Macaca fascicularis: one gene and its partner. The protein of the gene in region 2 binds, or shares a complex with, the protein of the main gene of each other region. Links are inferred from orthologs where the notes say so. Each region holds a gene or a part of one and is shown on either strand. Other genes may lie near its edges.

The links. Proteins that work in one complex are often made in the same cells at the same time.
Region 1: MED13L (region 2) and MED19 share a complex: the UniProt entries of both Homo sapiens proteins name them as parts of the mediator complex. The link is inferred for Macaca fascicularis from reciprocal best matches to the Homo sapiens genes MED13L and MED19.

Annotation. Positions count from the first base shown.
Region 1 is NC_088388.1:15,892,911-15,897,026, forward strand, and holds the start of MED19 (mediator of RNA polymerase II transcription subunit 19), read left to right. Parts: upstream 1-1,304; 5' UTR 1,305-1,337; coding exon 1,338-1,554; intron 1,555-4,116. Other genes in the region: TMX2 (thioredoxin-related transmembrane protein 2), read right to left, coding at 713-901. UniProt on the Homo sapiens protein: Component of the Mediator complex, a coactivator involved in the regulated transcription of nearly all RNA polymerase II-dependent genes.
Region 2 is NC_088385.1:122,931,199-122,934,846, reverse strand, and holds part of MED13L (mediator of RNA polymerase II transcription subunit 13-like), read left to right. Parts: intron 1-248; coding exon 249-672; intron 673-1,182; coding exon 1,183-1,402; intron 1,403-2,849; coding exon 2,850-3,038; intron 3,039-3,648. UniProt on the Homo sapiens protein: Component of the Mediator complex, a coactivator involved in the regulated transcription of nearly all RNA polymerase II-dependent genes.

The sequences.
Region 1 (4,116 bases), on a different chromosome or scaffold from region 2:
CTGAGCAGTCCCTCCACCCATTCCAAGGAAGCACAGCAAGGAGCTTGGGACACTTCTCAAAGAAAGCCCAAAGATTTCTTTACAACTTATTTTTTACAATTCCTTTACAGTAGCCCCAAAATTTTATCCACTTTCGCATCCTCAGGATCAAGCAGAGTGCCTAGAGTGTACACTCTAGAAATGTTGATTGAATTAAGAAACGGCTGACAGTGTGTGCAGGTAGTGTGGCCACAAGAATAGTTTCAAGTCCCAGGCACTCATTAGTTGCATGACCTGGGGCAAGTCGCCTAAATATACCAAGATCCATTCCTTCACCAATGAAACAGGACTACTACTACTTGCCTTCCCTACCTTACTGGCTCCTCAGGAGGCTTTACATAATGAGCGGCACTGTAAGATGCTATACACGTATATGTACAGTTTTGACAGGGCTGTTTCTTAGTCTAAATGGTGAAATGGAAAGAAACCTGGACTCAACAGTCAGAAGCTGTTGGGCCGTTGTACAGGGCTACGACTAACAGGTTCCGTTTTCCCATATTAAACACAAAGTTTAGTCTCGACGATGTTTCGGACTCTGCACTTTACAGTCTGTTAAATCCGCTACAGGCTCGGAACCTCAGGTGTCCTCAGAAAGGTAAACCCCAGGGTTCCCAGATGCACCTGCAAGGGCAGGGACAGTCAAGGTCGCGGTACTGAGACGCGGGACGCTCACCCAGTCAAAGTCACACGGGTTACCGTCTTCGCGTTGGGTGGGCAAACCGTCGCAGAGTGGCGGCAGTTTCCTCACGAGTAGGAAGGCAGCAGAGAGCAGGGCCGACAGAAGGTAGTAAGGTTGGGCAAGCCATCGTGAAAGTCGCGGCACCGAATACACCAGAGCAATTAGAGGAGCCAAGACCGCCATCTTTTCGGCCGCAAGGGCCACTGCTCACCGGCGTCGTAGGTCCGGCCCCGCCTCCCCCACCATAGCGACTGCTATTGGGCTACATCTCAAACGTACGGCCTCTAAACCCGGATGTAGTTCTGTCAACGCTGTGGTATGTCAGAACCCAAAAAAGAACTTAATATCTTATTGGTTGGTCTAGCTGTCGCTTTATCAGCTTAAGTCATTTTATTGGACTGTAGCTAACGTAGCTAGCAGAAGACTCTAATAAGGTTAAATAGCACTTCCTGAACGTTCTCAGAGAGCGACGGAAGTAGTTGTTGAAACAAGGTAGGCGGTGCCTGAGGCATCCAATGACAAGCGGTTCCTTGAGAAAGAGGTGGGTATTCCTTAAAGGCATTGTCCAATGAAAATTACCAACGCCAGACACCGAGACAGCGCCGGGGCGGAGGGGACGATGGAGAATTTCACGGCGCTGTTCGGGGCTCAGGCTGACCCACCACCGCCCCCAACCGCACTAGGCTTCGGACCAGGAAAGCCTCCACCCCCGCCACCGCCTCCTCCGGGCGGGGGACCCGGCACGGCTCCGCCTCCCACCGCGGCCACGGCCCCTCCCGGCGCGGACAAGTCAGGAGCTGGCTGTGGCCCTTTTTACCTCATGAGGGAACTGCCAGGTGAGTACTCGGCCTTGCCAAAGCCAGCCAATCAAATCTTAGAGAGGAGGTGTTGGGCGTGGCTCTCAGCCGGCTAACGGAGGTGCGAGGTAACCTAGGCAACGCATACCCGGACTGTGGAGCCCTAAGTCGAAAGGGCTATTAGGATTCACAAGCAGAGGGATGAGTTGAATTCAACCAAAGGGATGAATGGCGGGGAGCGGGGTGGTGCATCTCCGTGACTGTCTTTTGCACCATGTCCAGGCTGTGTTCCTGACACTGGTTTATGTCTCCCTAAAAAATTATCTAGGGCTGGGCGCAGTGGCTCACGCCTGTAATCCCAACACTCTGGGAGACGGAGGCGGGCGAATCACCTCAGGTCAGGAGTTCGAGACCAGCCTGGCCAACATGATGCAACTCTGTCTGTACTAAAAACACAAAAATTACTTGGGCGTGGTGGCGTATGCCTTTAATTCCAGCTACTCGGAACCCGGGAGGCGGAGGTTGCATTGAGCCGAGATTGCTCCACTGCACTCCAGCCTGGGCGATAGAATGAGACTCCGTCTCAAAACAAAAACAAACAAACAAAAAATCAAGAGTTTGAGTTTGGAACTCGAGAGGCCTGATTTAATATCTTTGGGGACCTAAAGTTTTAGTTACAAGTCTCCCACAGACTTGCTGTGGGTTTGGGGCAAGTTGCCACTCTTCCAAGATTTCTGCGTTTCCTGGTGTCATCAAAGAAGGGGTAAGAATCGAACCAAACTCTTTTCATTCAAAAAATTATTTTGTTGAGTACCTATGTACCAAGCACTTTTCTAAATGCTGGAGATACAGTTGTGAACGAGACTGACAAGATGCTTGCCTTTTTTGGAATGTACATTTCAGTGTAGGAGGCATTGTAAACAAGATAATGTCAGAGAGTGGTTAATGCTAGGAAGAGAAAACATTATAAAAAATTGAAGGTGGCCAGGCGCATTGCTCACGCCTGTAATCCCAGCGCTTGGGTAGGCTGAGGCAGGAGGATCCCTTGAGCCCAGGAGTTTGAGACCAGCCTGGGCAACATGGCGAGACCCAGTCTCTACAAAACATACAAGATTAGCCGGCCGTGGTAGTGCTTGCCTGTAGCCCCAGCTACTCAGGAGACTAAGGGAGGAGAATTGCTTGAACACAGGAGGTCCAGGCTGCAGTGAACCAAGATTGTGCCACTGCACTCCAGCCTGGGCAACAGATGAGACCCTGTCTCTTAAAAAAAAAATTGAGGGGCAGAACTACTTTAGCTAGAGTGGCCAGAGATGCTCTCTCCACATAGCTAAAATTTGAACTAAAATGTAAGCATAGACAAAGGGCCAGCCAGCTATGGACAGGAGGGAGAGATAATTCTAGATACAGGAAATGAGGTCAGAAACCCTGATGTGAGAAAAAGCTTAGAATATCTGAGGGACAGAAAATCAGTTGGACTCCAGTGAAGTGAACAAAAGGAAAGAGTGTTAGGAGAGAGATGAAGCTGGGAGAGTTAGGCAGAGGCTTTTATAAAGCAATAAAGGCATTTAGATTGTAAATACAAAAGGAAGCCATTTAAAACAATTTTTTATAGAGACAAGGTCTCACTGTGTCACCCAGGCTGGACTGCAGTGGTACAGTCATAGCTCACTGTAACCTCCAATTCCTAGGCGCATGCTGTCCTCCCACCTCAGCCTCCCAAGTAGCTAGGACTGCAGGCATGTGCCACCACAGTTGGCTAACTTAAAAATTTTTTGTAAAGACTGGGTCTTACTGTGTTGCCCAAGCTGGTCTTGAACTCCTGGCCAATGACAGTCCTCCCACCTTGGCCACCCAAAGTGCTAGGATTATAGGCCTGAGCCACTGTGCCCAGCCAAGGAAAGCCATTTTAACATAGGAACTTGGTCAAATGTACTTATTTAGAGAAGTAAATGGATACAGGGTGTTAGACGTAGAGCTGACAGGGTTGAAAAGCTGAATATAGGGCCAGGTGCTGTGGCTAACGCCAGTAATCCCAGCACTTTGGGAGGCTGAGGTGGGAGGACTGCTTGAGCCCAAAAGTTTGAGACCAGCCTGGGCAATATAATGAGACCCCATCTCTACAAAAAATAAAAGTAAATTAGCTAGGGATAGCAGCGTACACCTGTAGTCTCAGCTACTTAGGAAGCTGAGGTGGTAGAATCACTTGAGCCCAGGAAGTTGAGGCTGCAGTGAGCTGTGATTGTGCCACTGTGCTCCAGCTTAGATGATAGAGGAAGAAGCTGTCTCAGTTAAAAATACATATTGTATATAGAAGTGAAGGAGATAGAAGAATTGATGCCTTTTTAAGTTTTCAGCTTGAATAATTGGGTGTATGGGTATGAGACTTGGAAGATGAGGAAGGAACAAGTTTGAAGAGGTGGAAATCGAGTTGTTTTGGACATGTTTGGTCTCCAAGATGCTGCCTTTCTCTCTCTTTTTTTTTTTTTTTTTTTTCTCCTGAGACAGAGTTTTGCTCTTGTTGCGCAGGCTGGAGTGCAATGGCGCAATCTCGGCTCACTGAAACCTCCGCCTCCCAGGTTCAGGCGATTCTCCTGCCTCAGC
Region 2 (3,648 bases):
GACTATCACAAGTGATTGATTTTCTCTTTTCAAACAGGCCTCTTCTGTAGAATTTATAAGTTGCTCCGTGTGCATTTCCATGTTTGCAGAATACATAAGCATGAGTGTGGAGATAGTATTTTGTGTATTGTAATCAGAGTATTGCAGCTTGAAAGCATAATTTTTTTACAAGTGACCATTCTAGATTTCTGGTTTAGTCGACACTGCAGAATATCACTAAAGTCACCTCTTTGCATGTATTCTTTCAGCACCTTATTTAGCCACTCTGCAGCTTGATAGCAGCCTGTTGATACCACCTAAATACCAGACCCCACCAGCAGCGGCACAGGGACAGGCTACGCCTGGGAATGCTGGGCCCTTAGCTCCAAATGGATCAGCAGCTCCCCCAGCTGGCAGTGCATTTAACCCCACCTCGAATAGTAGTACTACAAATCCTGCAGCAAGTAGTTCCGCATCTGGTTCCTCTGTGCCACCGGTCTCATCGTCTGCCTCTGCTCCTGGTATTAGCCAGATAAGCACTACCTCTTCTTCAGGATTCAGTGGTAGTGTTGGAGGGCAGAACCCCAGCACTGGGGGCATTTCTACGGATAGAACTCAAGGGAGCATAGGCTGTGGCGGAGACACTGACCCTGGGCAGAGCTCTTCTCAGCCCTCACAGGATGGACAAGAGAGGTATGTTACTCACTAATTGAGACGAGTGGCCTCAGCTCAGACCCTTTCTCTCTTCTTCTGCACCTTTTCTCCCTTGACCTCATGATTCTCTGAATCCTATGAAGTGCTCTATTTCTCTTCTTCTCAAAAGAAAGGGGTAATGGTCAATCTAAAGCTGCAGTGTTAAAATTTTGAGACTTCTTATAAATTATTATGACTTATAAACCTTATTATTAAACTTACAATCAACTTAATTAATAACAACTTTGTACAACATAACCACAGAAAAGAAAGGGGAGTTTGAAAAAGATATCTCCCATTTTAGAGGAGTACATTGCCATTTTCCGTCTGCTTTCAATGCTCTCTGGCTTGGTTTGCCTGTATTTTGGTAAGGTGATACATGTTACTCTTACATTTAATCTGTAAATATTCTTTAGGGAGCCTGTGTGCTCTAGAATTGAGCACTTTTGTTTTTCATACTCATGTAATTTATGTTTATTTTGTGTGTCTCACAAGTGACTCTCTTGCCAGTGTTACAGAAAGGGAGAGAATAGGAATTCCCACGGAGCCTGACTCTGCAGACAGCCATGCCCACCCTCCAGCCGTTGTCATTTACATGGTAGACCCATTCACTTATGCTGCGGAGGAGGACTCCACTTCTGGGAACTTTTGGCTGTTGAGCTTGATGCGCTGCTACACAGAAATGCTGGATAATTTACCTGAGCATATGAGAAGTTCTTTCATTCTCCAGGTTACTGTTTGCAAGTTTATTATTTACTTTTGATGTTGATGTTTTTGTTGTTGTGAAAATAAATACAGGCTTATGGTTTTTCTTAAAAAATAGAAGTACAGGTTAATTATCCTCTAACCAAAATACTAGGGACCAGAGTGTTTTGGATTTCTGATTTTGGAATGTTTGCATATATGTAATGGGAGACCTTGGCAGTGGACCCAAGTCTAAACATAAAATTTGTGTTTTATATACACCTTATACACTTAACCTGAAGGTAATTTTATACAATTTTTTTAATAATTTTGTGCTTTATACAAAGTTTTGATTAAATTTGACTGCAGCACATCACATGAGGTCTGATACGGAATTTTCCACTTGTGGCGTTTTATTGACATTCCAAAAATTGTGAGTTTTGGCGCATTTTGGATTTCAGATTTTTTGATTAGGGATATTCAACCTGTACCCGAAAGTATAAAAGAAAAAATAATCATAATTCTGACTTTTACATTCAACCACCATTACCATTTTGGTGTTTTTCTAGCTTGTTTTTCTATTTTTGTTTACACAGTTGAGATCATACTTTTAATATAACTTAGTTTCTATCTAATGTTATTCATGAATACATTTTCATGTTATTTAAATTCTTACAAGCATTTTTAATGACTGCATATTTTCCATAGCCATTCCTATATCTCCACTTCTTTACTGTTATAAATAAAGCCATAGTACACATTTATGTATAATCTTATTTTTCACATTTCAGGTCATTTTTTAACATGGATTCTTAGATGTAGATGCTGACACATATTGCCAAATTCCATTCCAAAAGAGATTACACTTACTTTCCTTTCATCAGTGAATGAGTATGCTTATTTTCACTGCACCTTTGACAGCTTTATAGTGTGATGATTTTTTAAAAAATTCTATATAGATGAAAAACAGTGCTTCGGATGTTTGGGTTTCATTTTAATGTCACTTTAACTGAAGCTATCTTGTAAAATTAAAAGATTGAAATTAAAGTTATCAGAGTACATTGCTGATAGTTTTCCATTGTTTTGAAGTCTGTATCCTAAATGATTAGGTAATAATTCCAAAAAATGCCACACACACTGTGTAATTATAAAAAGGAGAAATATAATACAATTTGGGGGCCATGGTAATACCTGTAATAAATTGAGATCTTACCTCTCAAATGGGAACATGGTAGTTTCTAAGTGACAGTATAACTTGACCCATATAATCGTACATCTTTCGAAATTGCTGGTGATAGAGAATTTTATGTCAGTGGAAGGAATTAGGATTTAATTATATTATGTGTGACACTGATATATTTTAGGGCTGAGGTTACCTCTCCCCATGTGGTAAGGAATTCATGCCGTTTCCTTTTTCAGCTTGCTTGTTAGCGTGTTAGATCTCAGTTTCTAGGTTTTTGGTTTTGTTTTGTTTTTTGTATTTGTGTCTTTAGATTGTGCCTTGCCAGTACATGCTGCAGACAATGAAGGATGAGCAAGTTTTCTACATTCAATACTTGAAGTCCATGGCATTTTCAGTGTACTGCCAGTGCAGGCGACCATTGCCTACACAGATCCACATTAAATCCCTCACGGGATTTGGGCCTGCAGCCAGCATTGAGATGACCCTCAAGAACCCTGAGGTGGGTATTGGCAGGACAGGAACTTAGAAAATTTATACTAAAATGCAAGCTAGGAGAGGTATTTTATCTAACCTAGAGATTGGCTGGTTGCTTAGTTGGCCTTCTACCTTGATATAAGAGTTGCTAGGCTGGATGTGGTGGCTCACGCCTGTAGTCTTAGCACTTTGGGAGGCTGAGGTGGGAGGATTACTTAAGCCTAGGAGTTTGAGACCACCCTGGGCAACATAGCAAGACCCCGTCTCCACAAATTTTTTTAAAAAAAATTAGCCAGGTGTCAGTGATGATGTGTGCCAGTAGTCCTGGCTGTTTGGGAGGCTGAGACGGAAGGATCACTTGAGCCCAGGCGTTTGAGATGGCAGTGAGCTGTGATCACACAACCACTTCCGCCTGGAGAGTAAGACCCTGTCTCAAGCGGGGAATGAAAAAGAGTTGGCAGATTTCTTTAACTCTTAGATTTAAATAGAGGAGATATTTCTCTGAACTTTTAAGAATTTTTGAGAAAAGAGGCAAGCAAATTCTTACTGTTTTTTTTTATGTAGGACTTTAGGCAATAATATATGTATCACTTTTAGTTCTTAATGTTTGAATTTTCTAAATTTATTTTCTTTAT